4 linked regions of the Macaca mulatta genome follow. The protein of the gene in region 1 purifies or fractionates together with the protein of each later gene. This does not show direct contact. Links are inferred from orthologs where the notes say so. Each region holds a gene or a part of one and is shown in the gene's direction. Other genes may lie near its edges. The genes, in order: CCNF, CDC6, RRM2 and NUSAP1.

Region 1 (4,142 bases):
TGATTCCAGGACAGGGAATAGTCCCAACTTCCAGGCCCTCTCTGGGGCCACGGACTCTTCTGCGCCCTGTGCTGTGATCACCTGTTTGCTCTGTCTCTTGCTCCAGGCTGGCTGTAGCCTACACACCAGGGCTCCTGTCTGTGTGCCCAGGGCAGGCCCAGTACTTGAAGGGGTTCTATGGGGACTCAGAAGGATGGAAGGGTGCAGACTGAGGGAAGCGTGAGGGAGGGGTAGGCAGCCTTGGCCCAGGCCCCTGCCTTCCCCAGGAAAAGCCCCTCTGTCCTCCACCAGACACTCAGGAGGCTGCGTGTCTTCCCCTTGACAGCCTGTGCCGTGAAAGGGGTGGGGTATGGCTGATTCCTGAAGGACAGCTCGGATGAGCTCTGCCTAAGACAGGAGTGAGCAGATGTGACAGATCGCACGGCGAGCAGCTACCAGGTAGCAGCCGAGGAGGCGAGACAGGGGGCAGCATCTGGCCAAAGTGAGGGGGAGGGCTTGCCCCGGGGCTGGGGCACTGAGGCGTCCAGGGTGCGCCACGATTCGCGGGAAGAAGGGGTCAGCGTTCCGCGGGGGAGACTTCCAGCGCCAGCTCCGACCTCCTCTTTCCCTACCACGATCCGGGCCAGCATCCCCGCCCAGCAGCGGCTCGGCCACAAACCCAAGGGTCTCCACCTGAAGCAGGCGGCGGAAAGGATGGCCGTGCAGGCTGGGGGTGAGGGTCGCGGACCCAGGACCGACCCCGGGACCCGGGCAGGGCACGGCCTCGTTCTAGAAGCGCCACGTCGGGGCTGTGCCAGGCTGGATCACGGCCGCGACTGCGAGGGACGCCAAGGAGTCCTCTTTCCCCTGGCCGCAGGCATGCGCCTTCGGAGCCCATCGGGCACCGCAGATGCCAGTCGCCGGGGTCAGCGGCGAAGCCCGGACCCATGCGGCCGGGAGAGGACGCCTAGAAACCCCTGCGCGCCGGCCGGGAGCCGCGTTCCTCCAGGACCCCAGCCCCGCTGGGGAGGCGGGGCGGCCACGCGGATTCCACCAGTCAGCGACCAATGTTCGAATTCGCGTCCTGGCGCGGCCAATGGCGGGCGCCCGGAGCAGGCAGTGTGGGCGTGGAGGGCGGTAAATAAGGCGAGCCCGGGGCGGGACGTGGGCGGGGCAGGCGGCGGCCCCCCCGGGCAGGCCAATGGGAGGGCCGGGCGCGTTTGAAAACTGGGGTGGGCGGTGGGGCGGGGTCTGCGCCTGCGCGAGGGCTCCGCGCGCGCTCCAGCCGGGGCGCGGGCGCGCTCGCAGGCGGGCTCAGGCGACAGAGACGCGAGCGCGGCGATGGGGAGCGGTGGCGGTGAGTGGGAGGCGATGCCCGCCGGTTTCTGCCCCACAGCCGTTCTGCCTGCCCTGCGGGGCAGACGGTGGGTCCCGCGGGAGGGGAGGCCCTGGCGGCCTGAGGAGGGCCGGCTCGAGCTCTTTAACCCGGGGCGGGTGTCGCGTCCGGCGCAGGGAGCCCCCGCGGCCGGGCGCGCGGTTTAAATGCCCGGCGGGCGCCCGAGCCCCTCGTCGCCTTCCCTCGGGGCGACGTTTTCCGGCCCTTTGCCGGAGCGGCGATCGGGTCTCGGACGGCGATCGGGTCCCGGGGCGGCGATCGGGTCCCGGGGAGCCAAACACCAGCGCCTCCTGGTCGGGGTTGGGGCTGCGGAGCGCGTGGGGTCGAAGCGATCCCGCGGCCCGGCCCGGCCCTGACTGGGCCTCGGTCCAGCGGGGCCGTGGACCTAGCTCTGTGGAAAGCAGCGTTCGGCCCCGCGCGCGATGAGGCACAGGAAACTCGAGCTGTAGTTTGAGCTATTATCACAGTATCTGTCCGGGAGCCGGAGAATGAGGAATATTTTATGGAGAGCTCTATAGAATCTTTGAGAGTTCGTCGCCCTGGAATACGTTTGGCTTTTGCAGCTCTTTTAATTGCTGACAGGAAGACCCGGGTCGGGAGAGGGGAGCAAGGAGCAATTGCTAGGAAGTCCTGGTGGGGAGGGATTTGGGCCCACAGAGGGGAGTGGCGTTTCCTTTCAGGACTGGAAGAATGGATAGAAAGGTAGATTTGTAGATGGGGAGGCAGGATCCTGAGGTTCCTGTCTGAGGGCTTCTGTTTCTCTATGAAATAAGGGCTAAGGTCATCTGCTTAGAGTGAGGAAGGGGTTGCTGGAGTAGGAGTTAGAAAAGCCGGCTGTGGGAAGAGGAGAGAGCACATCTGAGAAGCATGGCTGGGCTGCCTGCCTGGTGGGTGGAGAGCCCGTCTCACCTTTAACGATTGCACCTGTAGACAGACCTACAGGTCTAGGTTTGTGTTGGGACCTGAGCAACAACCTTGCTGCGTAGCTGTCAACTCTGCATTCTACAGTGGAGGGCACACTGAGACTCTGCAGAGCTGACTTGGACGCACACTACCCCGGCCTCCAAGCCTGTGGCTTCTCTCCAGGGCTGACCCTTCTAATTTGGATTGAAAACCAGACTCTACAAGCCCACAGATCCTTATTGAACATTATGCACCTTGGTCATGTGTGCAAAAAGCAAAGATGTCCAGCAAAGGCCCCAGGGGTTTTCCTAAGAGTGAAATGGAAGGAAAACGGTCATCAGCCTCAGCAGCTTTTTCCCCTTCCTGACTGTCATGTGGGCTCTGGATCAGAAAGTTTCCCAATAGCCAAGTTACATGATATGCGCTATTTGCCATAAATATTTGTTGAATATTTGAAAATGAATGATCTCTTCTGTAATTTGTGCAATGCCACTCCTTTTACATAATCTTTGTTTGGGACAGGAAGCATAGTTCCGTTTTTGTGGCACAGGGAATCGTAACCATTAGATCATTTTCAGGTGTAACTTTTATCCTTTTTTTTTTCCCTTCAAGGGTATGTATATAGAATAATTTTTCGTCTTATCAACACTTCTGTCTTTTTTTCCTTCAGTGGTTCACTGTAGGTGTGCCAAGTGTTTCTGTTATCCTACAAAGCGAAGAATAAGGAGGAGGCCCCGAAACCTGACCATCTTGAGTCTCCCTGAAGATGTGCTCTTTCACATCCTGAAATGGCTTTCTGTAGAGGACATCCTGGCTGTCCGAGCTGTAAGTCCCTGGATGAAAACAGCATGAGCCCTAGCACTGTTACCATCAAGGCCTTGTGTTCTTAACTGTCAGAACAAAACTTTGACTAAAAAGGAGGTCACGGGCAGAGGCCGGGCACGGTGGCTCACACCTGTAATCCCAGCACTTTGAAAGGCCAAGGGGGGGGGGTGGATCACCTGAGGTCAGGAGTTCGAGACCAGCCTGGCCAACTTGGCGAAATCTGTCTCTACTAAAAATACAAAAATTAGGCGTGGTGTCTCATGCCTGTGATCCCAGCTACTAGAGAGGCTGAGGCAGGAAAATGGCTTGAACCATTTTCAAGGTTGAAGCAGTGAGCCAAGATCTCACCACTGCACTCCAGTCTCCAGCCTGGGCAACAGAGCAAGACTCTGTCTCAAAAAAAAAAAAAAAAAAGGGGGCAAAAGGAAACAAGGATGATATCATTACCATTACCATATGCTTTCTTTAAGACATTCTGATTACAGAAATTTCCATTCCTGTCTCCCAGCACACTAAAGTTGCCTCTGTTCATTACAGTGTCAACAGAAAAGTACCTTTTTTTTTCTCTGAGACAGAGTCTCGCTCTGCCGCCCAGGCTGGAGTGTGGTGGCGCAATCTCCACTCACTGCAAGCTCCGCCTCCCGGGTTCATGCCATTCTCCTGCCTCAGCCTCCCGAGTAACTGAGACTACAGGCGCCCGCCGCCACACCCGGCTAATTTTTTGTATTTTTAATAGAGTCAGGGTTTCACCATGTTAGCCAGGATGGTCTCAATCTCCTGACCTTGTGATCCGCCCACCTCGGCCTTCCAAAGTGCTGGGATTACAGGCGTAAACCACCATATCCGGCCAAAAGTACCCTTTTATGGCAGTGAAATTTGCATCCCTTAAAAGATAGTGTTTAAAAGAATAAGAAGGCCAGGCGCGGTGGCTCAAGCCTGTAATCCCAGCACTTTGGGAGGCCGAGACGGGTGGATCACAAGGTCAGGAGATCGAGACCATCCTGGCTAACACCGTGAAACCCCGTCTCTACTAAAAATA
Region 2 (3,562 bases), on another chromosome or scaffold:
ACCTCAGGTGATATGCCTGTCTCGGCCTCCAAAGTGCTCAGATTACAGGTGTGAGCCACTGTACCCGGCCTCAAGTGCTTTCTTTAATGACTTTTAAAAAATAGGGCCTATGAAAAAACTTTTTCTGTTGAAAGTAACTAAATAGATATTTTATTTTTGCTAATTTCAGTTCTGATTGCTTTTTTTCCATTTATGAACTTCTACCACATCCATACAAAATGCTTAAATGTGTGAAAACTCTCAAATATCTCCATTATTTATGAGAAGAAAAGGCATCTTTTTGACCCTAAGGAGTTGCCAATCAAGTTTAGGGTTAAATGTGAAAATATTTATGCTTGGGACATAAATTACCGAGGGAGAATCTTATAGTTCAAACTGTCATATTCTATGTCTTGTCTTAAGGTATCTAGAGATCAGGTTCTGGACAATGCTGCAATTCAATTCTGTGCCCGCAAAGTCTCTGCTGTTTCAGGAGATGTTCGCAAAGCACTAGATGTTTGCAGGTGAGTTATGGCACTGTTGCCTCCTTTTATTAAAAAAAAAAAAGAAATGCTGTTAATTGTCTCATGTAACTCAAGTGAATGTGGCTTAAGAGGCTCTGTTCTGCTACTTTTTTACGCTCAGAAAGGAGGACTTGTTTCTCAGTGGGGAGCTCTGGATTTCCACCGTGTTAATGTCTGAAACATTATCAGTCCATTACCTACAGAGGGAGAAACAAATGAGATGTTGCTGGCACTCCCTGTGGTGATTATAGATTGGTTAATTACATTTGTATTAAAAAAGACTCCAGTTTACTTTTCCATTAGCTGGTCTCAAGCAGGTTTATTTATGGACCTGAACCATCTTTGCCTTTAGACTTTTTTCCTTCCTTTCCTTTTGTGAGCACCCCTTCTTCCCTCCAGTTGGTGGTCCCCCATAGTTGTACTCCAGACCTCTTTCTCCCTTCCCATCCCCCTGCCCCTCCTGCTGGGGAAAGCCTCTGTGCTGACTGATGAAATTTCTTCCTTCCCAGTAGGGACGCTGGGTCCATTAAAATGATACTTGCTGTGCTGGCCTGCTGGTCCAACCTCCCCCTATTGCCATGCAGAAGACCCAGGTCTGGCTTATGGCTTCCTGTGGGCAAAGTACTTTGGAGAGAGCAGTGGGAGAGTAAGCTCTTCCTATTGCTAGATTGCATGATCCTGAATTTGAAAGTTTCCCCTAATCAGCAAACTACTTGGGTAAAGACTGCAACTATGAGCAATAGTCATGTAGGCTAGGGTGGTTTAGCCTACACATATCCTATGTATTTATAACTGAAGATATCTCTTTTAGGTTTGGTGTGTATGGGTGGTGCTGGCTCCCTTTAGTTAGTCACCCACACTACATATCCTCTCTCCTACCCATGACATTTTCTCCTCATCCAAGATGTTATCATTGGCTTAATGTATGATGACCTACTTGGCATCTATTAGGAGGAAACCATTGAAGTTTCTCAAATCTGACGTCCATGAATAATTTCAAAGCAATTAAGTCCCCTTATCTGAGAAATAACCCAGTTTTGTTTGGGGGCTTTAAAATTACAAAACATCATAATTTTAAAGTTAGACATAGGATATGTATAGGCTAAACCATGTTAGCCTACATGACCATTGTTCATAGTTGCAGTCTTTAAGCAATAGTCATTAATGTGCCTGCTTTTGAGGCTGGTGATTTGGTATGGTGTTTGGTTTGGCTCACACTAAATTAATTTTAGAAATTTTTTTTATAGGAGAGCTATTGAAATTGTAGAGTCAGATGTCAAAAGCCAGACTGTTCTCAAACCACTGTCTGAATGTAAGTAGTTTATCTTCTTCTTGTCTTCCTTTGTAACTGGAAGCTTAGCTTTTCTGAGGAAAGAGGTAAAAAGATGAAATGAACATAGTTAAATCCAAAATCACCCATTTTTGTGTGTGTCTGTGTTTTTAGTCTGTTTCATCTACTTTATTTCAATCTTGCCTGCCAGTACTATAGTTCATGCATTACTGGAAATGAGTTCCCAGGGTATTGCGTAAATGGCTGGGACAGAGTAAGTTTTCTTTCCAAGCTCTAAAAATGAAACTTGTAGACAATGAGGTTGGATCAGCTCTCTAGGTGCTTATGTTGCGTGCACTTTAGGTCTCAATATAGGTGAAAGCAAAGCCTGATAAATAAGGGAGAATTGGGTAAAAGAATTGTGAGGCCGGCCGGGCGCGGTGGCTCAAGCCTGTAATCCCAGCACTTTGGGAGGCCGAGACGGGCGGATCACGAGGTCAGGAGATCGAGACCATCCTGGTTAACACGGTGAAACCCCGTCTCTACTAAAAAATACAAAAAACTAGCCGGCCGAGGTGGCGGACGCCTGTAGTCCCAGCTACTCGGAAGGCGGAGGCAGGAGAATGGCGTGAACCCGGGAGGCGGAGCTTGCAGTGAGCTGAGATCCGGCCACTGCACTCCAGCCTGGGTGACAGCGCGAGACTCCGTCTCAAAAAAAAAAAAAAAAAAAAAAGAAAAAAAAAAAAAGAGTTGTGAGGCCAGAGGCCCGGCGCGGTGGCTCAAGCCTGTAATCCCAGCACTTTGGGAGGCCGAGACGGGCGGATCACGAGGTCAGGAGATCGAGACCATCCTGGCTAATACGGTGAAACCCCGTCTTTACTAAAAAAATACAAAAAACTAGCCCGGTGAGGTGGCGGGCGCCTATAGTCCCAGCTACCCGAGAGGCTGAGGCAGGAGAATGGCGTAAACCCGGGAGGCGGAGCTTGCGGTGAGCTGAGATCCGGCCACTGCACTCCAGCCTGGGCGACAGAGCGAGACTCCGTCTCAAAAAAAAAAAAAAAAAAGAATTGTGAGGCTAGGTGTGGTGGTTCACACCTGTAATCCCAGCACTTTGGGAGGCCAAGGCGGGAGGATCGCTTGAGCCCAGGATTGTGAGACCAGCCTGGGCAATATAGTGAGACCTTGTTTCTACAACAAAATTTTAAAAATTTTGCAGCCATTAGAAATATGAGTTCATATCCTTTTTAGGGACATGGATGAAGCTGGAAACCATCATTCTTCAGCAGAGTAACACAGGAACAGAAAACCAAATACCACATGTTCTCACTCATAAGTGGGAGTTGAACAATGAGAACACATGGATGCAGGGAGGGGAACATCACATGCCGGAGCCTGTCAGGGGTGAGGGCCAAAGGGAGGGAGAGCATGCGGGACTTAAAACCTAGATGAGGGGTTGATGAGTGCAGCAGGCCATCATGGCACATGTATACCTATGTAACAAACCTGCACATTCTGCACATGTATCCCAGAACTTAAAGTTAAAAAAAAAAAATTAGACAAGCATGGCGTGTGCCTATAGTCCTAGCTACTTGGGAGGGTGAGGCAGGAGAATCACTTGAGCCGGAAAGGCAGTGGTTGCAGTGAGCTGAGATCGTGCCACTGCACTGCCAGCCTGGGCAACAAAGTGAGACTCTGTCTCAAAAGAATAATAAGAAAAATTATAAGTTCAACTTGGGATAGATATCTCAAGCTTTTAAAGAAGTCTAGAGGGTAGAGGTAAAAATATCAT
Region 3 (4,325 bases), on another chromosome or scaffold:
TAGTGGGAATTACAGGCGCCTGCCACCACATCTGGCTAATTTTTGTATTTTTAGTAGAGATGGGGTTTCCCTATATTGGCCAGGCTGCTCTCAAACTCCTGACCTCAGGTGATCTGCCTGCCTCAGCCTCCCAAAGTGCTGGGATTACAGGCGTGAGCCTCCAAGCAGGGCCTAATAAAGCCTTTTCACCTAACTTCCAGTGTAGAGTCCAGGGGTCAGGAAAACAAGTTAATTGACACCGTGAATAAACAATCAGGCAAATGTAGGATGTGGGACATTCTACAAGAAAACTGGCCTGTACTTCAAAGCCAATGTCGTGGGGAAAAGAAGTGGAAGAGCTTTATTAAGAGTCTAAAGCAACATAATAACCAAACGCAATGCATGTACTTAATTAGATCCTGCATAAAAAAAGTAAATCCAAAAAACTATGAGACATTTTTGAAACAATTGGAAAAACAGGAATATGGACTGGATATTAGGTGATACTGGAGTATTGTTAGTTTTCCTAGGGATAAATGTGGTATTGTGGTGATGTTAGAGAGTGTCCTTATTTTTAGGAGCTGAAACGTTTAGGGGTAATGGGTCATGATATCTATCACTTTCAAATGATCCATAAAAAAGCATAAGCCTCACACACCCACAGAGGGGGTGTCTGCCATATTTGCCATGAGGCAAATATGGCAAAATAGAAACAGCTGTTGAATCCTAGGTAGTGGGCGAATGCTAGCAATCGTTCCATTATTCTGTATGTTGAAAACATTCATAATAAAAAGTTAGGGTAGAAACGTTCTGCTGTGCAGTTGTGCTGTGCGACCTTGGGCAGTTTCCTTGCCTCTCAGGTCTTCATTTCCTCACCTATGAAACGGGGTTAAAAATACCAACCCCGGTGGGACGGTGGCTCACGCCTGTAATCTGAGCATTTTGGGAGGCCAAGGCGGGTGGAGGGCTTGAGCCCAGGGGTTCAAGACCAGCCCGGGTGACATACCGAGAACCCATCTCTACAAAAAATTTAAAAATTAGCCTGGCAGAGTGGTGCATGCCTGCAGTCCTAGCTACTTGGGAGGCTGAGGTGGGAGGATCGCTTGAGCTCGGAAAGTTGAGGCTGCAGTGAACTATGATGCAGCCACCAGCCTGGGCAACAGAGCGAGACCCTGTCTCAAAACAAAAAAACCAAAAAACTAAAACAAAACAAAACAAAACAAAAAAAACCCAGCCTCACACGATCCAGGTGCCCAGAGGCTGTGGGTGCTGCAGCCGTAATTATTATTATGACCACCTTCGGCACGGCGTCTGGTACACAGTGAGTGCTGAGCTCCCCGGGCCGCGGTTTTTCCACCCTAATGGTGGACAGGTAGGAACAGCCTTTTGGAAGTCGCGCTAACCTTGGCCAGGGACCTGCAAACCTGTCCGGGCTGGGGGCGTATGAGCGGGAGAGCGCGCAGCGGAAACGGGGCGGGGCACCTGAGGCTGGGAATGCAGAGGAGCCTTCCGGGGAACGGGGCGGGGCCTCCCGTGCAGACCAATGGTGTAGATGCAGATGTCAAAACGCGCGCTCAAGTGGCTCCCGCCAGGAATCCCGGGGCTTAGGGAGGCGGAGGGAGGATCGCTTGAGGCCAGGAGTTTGAGATCAGCCTGGGCAAACAAGCGAGACCCTTGTCTGTTCACTTAAATAAAACCAAAAAAACGAGCACCGACGGAAAAAGGAGTAAATCCCGGCGCTAGCAGCAGCCCGGCGCCTGCGGCGGCGGCGGCGGGCGCCCTCCCGGGAGTGGCTGCTTTGCCCGACCCCCCAGAGGCGGAACCTTCCGCATTGCCGCGTGGCCGTGGGCGCCGCCACCTCCGCAGCGGGGCAAAGATGCCGGACCTGGAGGGAGGAGGGCCACGCCGAGATGACTCAGGTTCAGCGCGGGAGGGGAGGATGGCGACTTCACCTGGCCTCTAACACGTACGCATCTTTCCGCGCCTTCTACAATGGCTGTTAATTACGTGGCCAGGAACTAAACTGTAAGTGAAGCCACCTCTGGCTATTTCAGTTAACAGTGAGTTTAACAGGAGCAAAAAAGCACGTGGCGCCGTAGGGCAACCAAAACCAGGGCTTTAGACGTTGATTATGGGACATTGAAATCTGAGTTGAGTATTACACCAAGAAATTATAATTTTGTTAGATAATAGCTTTATCAGCCATAAAGTAATCAATAAAAATACCAATTTCCTGGAGATGGATGCTTTAGTGTGTTTGGGGGTGAAACTGGCAATGGATGGCAAGTTGCTTTAAACAAATCATGCTACACCAAAGTTTTGGTTGTGGCTTTGTGTAAGGAATGTGATGGTCACTTATCCCTGCAACACGAGAATACTTTGAATACAAGTCCGTAGTACTTTTAAGAAATGAGAGAAACAGACCTAGATGGGGAGGGTATCTGTCCAACCCCACCCTCTATAAAGTATCTAGAAAAGGCTTTGTAAAAAGTCCCGAGTCTCTCAATAACAGCCCTGAGTGCAGCTGTTGAAGCTTTCTCAGGTTAATGATTTCTTCTTGGATCTTAAAGTTTCTTTCTCTTCCTTTATTTTTGGCATTTTGCCGTTGCAGGGCCTGGCAAATCGGAAAGCCACATAGACAATTAAATGAAAGCTGTTGCTAAGTTCCAGGCTCTACCTCAGTGTTTTCAAACTCCTCTTCAGCATATTTGATGCCCAATGAGTAGTACATTAAATCCTAGTTCTAAAATCATTCTGTGAACTTTCTCCCAGGAATTTTTGCTCAGTTTGCAATTAAAACAAGTTTTTTTTTTCTTTTTTTAATGGGGGCGGGGTCTCACTATGTTGCCAAGGCTGGTCTCCAGCTCTTGGCCTCAAACAATCCTCCTGCCTCGGCCTCCCAAAGTGCTGGGACTACAGGCGTGAGCCACCGCGCCCAGCCACAGTTTGCAATTCTTAAAGCAAGGGTGACAATAGGGGACAGGGGTCTGACAGGAGACAGGATTTCTGTGGAAAATTGCACCAAGGGCCTTCTCTCCGTGTCCTGGAGTTTGAAGGTTTACGAAGGACTGCACATTTTACATGAGTCATCTCAACGAATGCTCTCCTCACCACATTAACACCCCACGCGGTGACGAGTCCCATTTTACTCAGGGGGACGCCGAATCTGTAAGAAGCCTGGTCGCATGTCCCAGTCACAACAAAACGAGCCGCGGGGCTCAGCAGCCCTAACTTTTAGGCTGTAGGGTCCTCGCCGACCACCCCGCCCAAATGTCAGGGCTCGGGGCCCTTGCACTCCCACCCCAGGGACACAGATCGAAAGGGTCGCAGCAACGCCTCCCCCGACCCAGGAGCGTCTTCCAGGCCTTTGCACCAACCTCGTTGGCAAAGTCTCCTGCCCTGCGGCGGCGCGGCTGGGAGGAGGCGCTTTTGGGAAGCGCGCCCGCGGGCTCCAATCGCTGCGCCTCACGCAATCCCAAACGGTTCCCGGGCGAACCGGGGCCCGCGCGCGCCAACGCCGCCGAGACTCTCAGGGACTGCGGTCCTGGTCCCGTGGGACCTGTGGAGGCCCGGGCGGCGGCGCCCCCGACCCAGCCAGCGGACGGAGCGGGGGGAACCGGGAGGTCCCGGGGGGCGTCCACGGGGGTGTCCCCGGTGGTCCCCGGAAGGCGCCGGCGGAGGCTCCCGCGCTGCGCTTGAAAATCGCGCGCTGTCCCGCGGCCAGCCTGGGTGGGGTCAAGGTGCAGCCAATGGAAGGGTCGGGGGCACGGCACAGCCAATGGGAAGGGCCGGGGCGCCAAAGCGAATGGGAAGGGCCGGCACGGGAGATTTAAAGGCTGCTGGACCGAGGGGTCGCCCGTGCTTCGCGTCCCAGCCATCCTGTTCTGGCCTGTCGCTGTACTTCGCTGCGCCGCCACTATGCTCTCCGTCCGCATCCCGCTCGCGCCCATCACGAACCCGCAGCAGCTGCAGCTCTCGCCGCTGAAGGGGCTAAGCCTGGTAGACAAGGAGAACACGGTGAGCGCGCGGGGAGGGTGCTGCGGACCGGGGAGGGAGGCAGGGAAGCGAAGCCGCCTCCGACTCACACACGTCTCCCTGCAGCCGCCAGCCCTGAGCGGGGCCCGCGTCCTGGCCAGCAAGACCGCGAGGAGGATCTTCCAGGAGCCCGTGGAGCCGGTGAGTGACGGGCGTGGGGCAGAGGGGCCAGGGGCGGCCTTGGGCGTCTTGGCGCCAAAACCGCATTGTCTCCTCAGCTGTTCACACTCCCGCGCCGGTTCCTTTCCCGCCTACGCGGCCCCTCCCCAGGGCGACCTCCCGTGCCCCTCGGCCCATTTCCCGGTTTGGGC
Region 4 (3,404 bases), on another chromosome or scaffold:
GATGGCTGTAATCCCAGTACTTTGGGAGGCACAGGCAAGAGGATGACTTGAGCCTGGGAGTTCAAGAGCAGCCTGGACAACTTAGCAAGACCCTATCTCTACCAAAAAATTTAAAAATTAGCTGGACATGGTGACACGTGCCTGTGATCCTAGCTATTCAGGAAGCTGGGATGTGAGGATTGCATGAGCCAGGGAGGTTTGGGCTGCAGTAAGCCATGACTGTACCACTGCATTCCAGCCGGGGCAACAGAGTGAAACCCTATCTCAATAAAAAAGAAAAGCAGGACATAGAGCCAGGTGTAGTAGTATGTATGCCTGTACTCCCAGCTATATGGAAGGCTGAACTGGGAAGATCACTTGCAGCCAGGAGTTCAAGGCTGCAGTGTATGCTATGACTGTGCCTATAGAGAGCCACTGAAGCCCGTCTCGACTACTAAAAATACAATAATTAGCTGGGCACGGTGGCGTGTGCCTGTAGTCCCAGCTACTCGGGAGGCTGAGGCAGGAGAATTGCACGAACCCCAGAGGCAGAGGTTGCAGTGAGCCGAGATCGTGCCAGTACACTCCAGCCTGGACAACAGAGCTCCGTCTAAAAAATTAAAAAAAAAAAAAAGGCTGGGCGCGGTGGCTCACGCCTGTAATCCCAGCACTTTGAGAGGCCAAGGCGGGCGGATCACAAGGTCAGGAGATCGAGACCATCTTGGCTAACACGGTGAAACCCCGTCTCTGCTAAAAAAAAAATACAAAAAATTAGCCGGGCGCGGTGGCGGGCGCCTGTAGTCCCAGCTACTTGGGTGACTGAGACAGGAGAATGGCATGAACCCAGGAGGCGGAGCTTGCAGTGAGCCGAGATGGCGCCACTGCACCTTAGCCTGGGCGATGAGCAAGACTCCATCTCAAAAAAAAAAAAAAAATTAAAAAAAAACAAAAACTATATTTAAATTTAAAAAACAGGCCGGGCGCGGTGGCTCAAGCCTGTAATCCCAGCACTTTGGGAGGCCGAGACTGGAGGATCACGAGGTCAGGAGATCGAGACCATCCTGGCTAACACGGTGAAACCCCGCCTCTACTAAAAAGAATACAATAAACTAGCCGGGCGAGGTGGCGGGCGCCTGTAGTCCCAGCTACTCGGGAGGCTGAGGCAGGAGAATGGCGTGAACCCAGGAGGTGGAGCTTGCAGTGAGCCCGGATCGCGCTACTGCACTCCAGCCTGGGCAACAGAGCCAGACTCCGTCTCAAAAAAAAAAAAATTTAAAAAACAAAACAGGCCGGGCGCGGTAGCTCAAGCCTGTAATCCCAGCACTTTGGGAGGCCGAGACGGGCAGATCACGAGGTCAGGAGATCGAGACCATCCTGGCCAACACGGTGAAACCCCGTCTCTACTAAAAAGACAAAAAACTAGCCGGGTAAGGTGGCGGGCGCCTGTAGTCCCAGCTACGCGGGAGGCTGAGGCAGGAGAATGGCGTAAACCCGGGAGGCGGAGCTTGCAGTGAGCTGAGATCCGGCCACTGCACCCCACCCCGGGCGACAGAGCAAGACTCCATCTCAAAAAAAAAAAAAAAACACAAAACAAAACCAAAAAAAAGCAACACGTAAACTTCCAGAAATTGGGTCCCAGTTCTTTTTTGTAAAATTGCAAATTGGTTGGACACAGTGGCTCACGCCTGTAATCCCAGCACTTTAGGAGGCCAAGGCAGGCAGATTGCTTGAGAACAGGAGCTCGAGACCAGCATGGGCAACATGACAAAACCTCGTCTCTACTAAAAAATACAAAAATTACCTGGGCATGGTGGTGTGTGCCTGTAGTCCCAGCTACTCATGAGTCTGAGTTGGGAGGATCACTTGAGCCCAGGAGGCGGAGGTTGCTGTGAGCTAAGATCAGATCACACCACTGCACTCCAACCTGAGCAACAGAGTGAGATTCTGTCTCAAAGAAAAAAGTATAATTGTCAATAGCAGGTAACCACAGATGAAGGGAATGAAGTTGGGAATATAAATCAAACAATCTTCTTAAAACTCTTTGTCTCTGTCCTAAACTAGGAAAGCTAAAACCATGGGGGCAATCTAAAGAAAATAATTATCTAAATCAACATGTCAACAGAATTAACTTCTACAAGAAAACTTACAAACAACCCCATCTCCAGACAAAGTAAGTACATAATTATCCAGCTTTATAATTATTTTAATTTCAAAAGCAGCACCTTGGCCGGGCGCGGTGGCTCAAGCCTGTAATCCCAGCACTTTGGGAGGCCAAGACGGGCGGATCACAAGGTCAGGAGATCGAGACCGTCCTGGCTAACATGGTGAAACCCCATCTCTACTAAAAAAAATACAAAAAATTAGCTGGGCGTGGTGGCGGGCGCCTGTAGTCCCAGCTACTAGGGAGGCTGAGGCAGGAGAATGGCGTGAACCCGGGAGGCGGAGCTTGCAGTGAGCCGAGATCCGGCCATTGCACTCCAGCCTAGGGGACAGAATGAGACTCCGCCTCAAAAAAAAACACAAAACAAAAGCAGCACCTCTGAGGGATAGAGACTCAGTAATAGTGGTGTTTTAAGGGGAGGTTAGAAGTGGTATCATGGGCCAGGCGTGGTGGCTCACACCTGTAATCCCAGCACTTTGGGAGGCTGAGGCAGGCGGATCATGAGATCAGGAGATCGAGACCATCCTGGCTAACATGGTGAAACCCTGTCTCTACTAAAAATACAAAAATGAAAAAAAAAATTAGCCAGGCGTGGTGGCGGGCACCTGTGGTCCCAGCTATTCGGGAGGCTGAGGCAGGAACCCGGGAGGCAGAGCTTGCAGTGAGCCGAGATCGTGCCACTGCACTCCAGCCTGGGCAACAGAGTGAGACTCCATCTCAAAAAAAAAAAGAAAAGAAAAGAAGTAGCATCATATATAGAACTTTCTGAGTACATGTTCCAGTGTAATGGACTCCAAATCAGCAGGTTTGGGGTGAGGCCCAAGCACCTGCATTGTTTCCAAAGCTCTGCAGGTGATTCAGAAGAAGACCCAGATTCAGAGCACTGCTCTTGCATGACTCATCTGCCTCAACACAGGGCATGTGGGTATCTCTCCTGATACCAATGCCCAGCAGTCCAGGGCACCTACGTATCCAGATAGACATCAATTCCTCACTCCTAAGGAAGCCAGGCTTACAAGGCATCAAGGCCCTATAAAGAGGAGCACCCAGGACGGTCCTTAGAGGCTTCCTTCAGCATGAAAACCAAGTTAAAGCCAGAGCTCATCCTAGGTTGTAGCAAATCATGGTTGGGCCCAGATTCCCTGCTTGGACCCTCATGACACAGGGTTACCTATCATTTGACTCATGGCTATACATGACTGCGCCAAGGCCTTTGCTCGCTGTTATTAAGTTGGCTGAGTGAGGTGGCTCACGCCTGTAATCC

What was found.
Region 2: the proteins of CCNF (region 1) and CDC6 purify together in Homo sapiens (affinity purification with western blotting; 4 studies listed by BioGRID and IntAct, with this or other methods). This does not show direct contact. The link is inferred for Macaca mulatta from reciprocal best matches to the Homo sapiens genes CCNF and CDC6.
Region 3: the proteins of CCNF (region 1) and RRM2 purify together in Homo sapiens (affinity purification with western blotting; 5 studies listed by BioGRID and IntAct, with this or other methods). This does not show direct contact. The link is inferred for Macaca mulatta from reciprocal best matches to the Homo sapiens genes CCNF and RRM2.
Region 4: the proteins of CCNF (region 1) and NUSAP1 purify together in Homo sapiens (affinity purification with mass spectrometry; 3 studies listed by BioGRID, with this or other methods). This does not show direct contact. The link is inferred for Macaca mulatta from reciprocal best matches to the Homo sapiens genes CCNF and NUSAP1.

Annotation. Positions count from the first base shown.
Region 1 is NC_133425.1:3,661,052-3,665,193, forward strand, and holds the start of CCNF (cyclin-F), read left to right. Parts: upstream 1-1,289; 5' UTR 1,290-1,320; coding exon of another isoform or gene 1,321-1,336; exon of another isoform or gene 1,337-1,403; intron 1,404-2,948; coding exon of another isoform or gene 2,949-3,103; intron 3,104-4,142. UniProt on the Homo sapiens protein: Substrate recognition component of a SCF (SKP1-CUL1-F-box protein) E3 ubiquitin-protein ligase complex which mediates the ubiquitination and subsequent proteasomal degradation of target proteins.
Region 2 is NC_133421.1:64,677,232-64,680,793, forward strand, and holds part of CDC6 (cell division control protein 6 homolog), read left to right. Parts: intron 1-402; coding exon 403-503; intron 504-1,012; coding exon of another isoform or gene 1,013-1,259; exon of another isoform or gene 1,260-1,399; intron 1,400-1,750; coding exon 1,751-1,815; intron 1,816-3,562. UniProt on the Homo sapiens protein: Involved in the initiation of DNA replication. Also participates in checkpoint controls that ensure DNA replication is completed before mitosis is initiated.
Region 3 is NC_133418.1:114,702,012-114,706,336, reverse strand, and holds the start of RRM2 (ribonucleoside-diphosphate reductase subunit M2), read left to right. Parts: upstream 1-1,512; 5' UTR 1,513-2,004; intron 2,005-2,590; exon of another isoform or gene 2,591-3,853; 5' UTR 3,854-3,897; coding exon 3,898-3,996; intron 3,997-4,080; coding exon 4,081-4,155; intron 4,156-4,325. UniProt on the Homo sapiens protein: Provides the precursors necessary for DNA synthesis. Catalyzes the biosynthesis of deoxyribonucleotides from the corresponding ribonucleotides. Inhibits Wnt signaling.
Region 4 is NC_133412.1:18,723,371-18,726,774, forward strand, and holds part of NUSAP1 (nucleolar and spindle-associated protein 1), read left to right. Parts: intron 1-2,040; coding exon 2,041-2,149; intron 2,150-3,404. UniProt on the Homo sapiens protein: Microtubule-associated protein with the capacity to bundle and stabilize microtubules. May associate with chromosomes and promote the organization of mitotic spindle microtubules around them.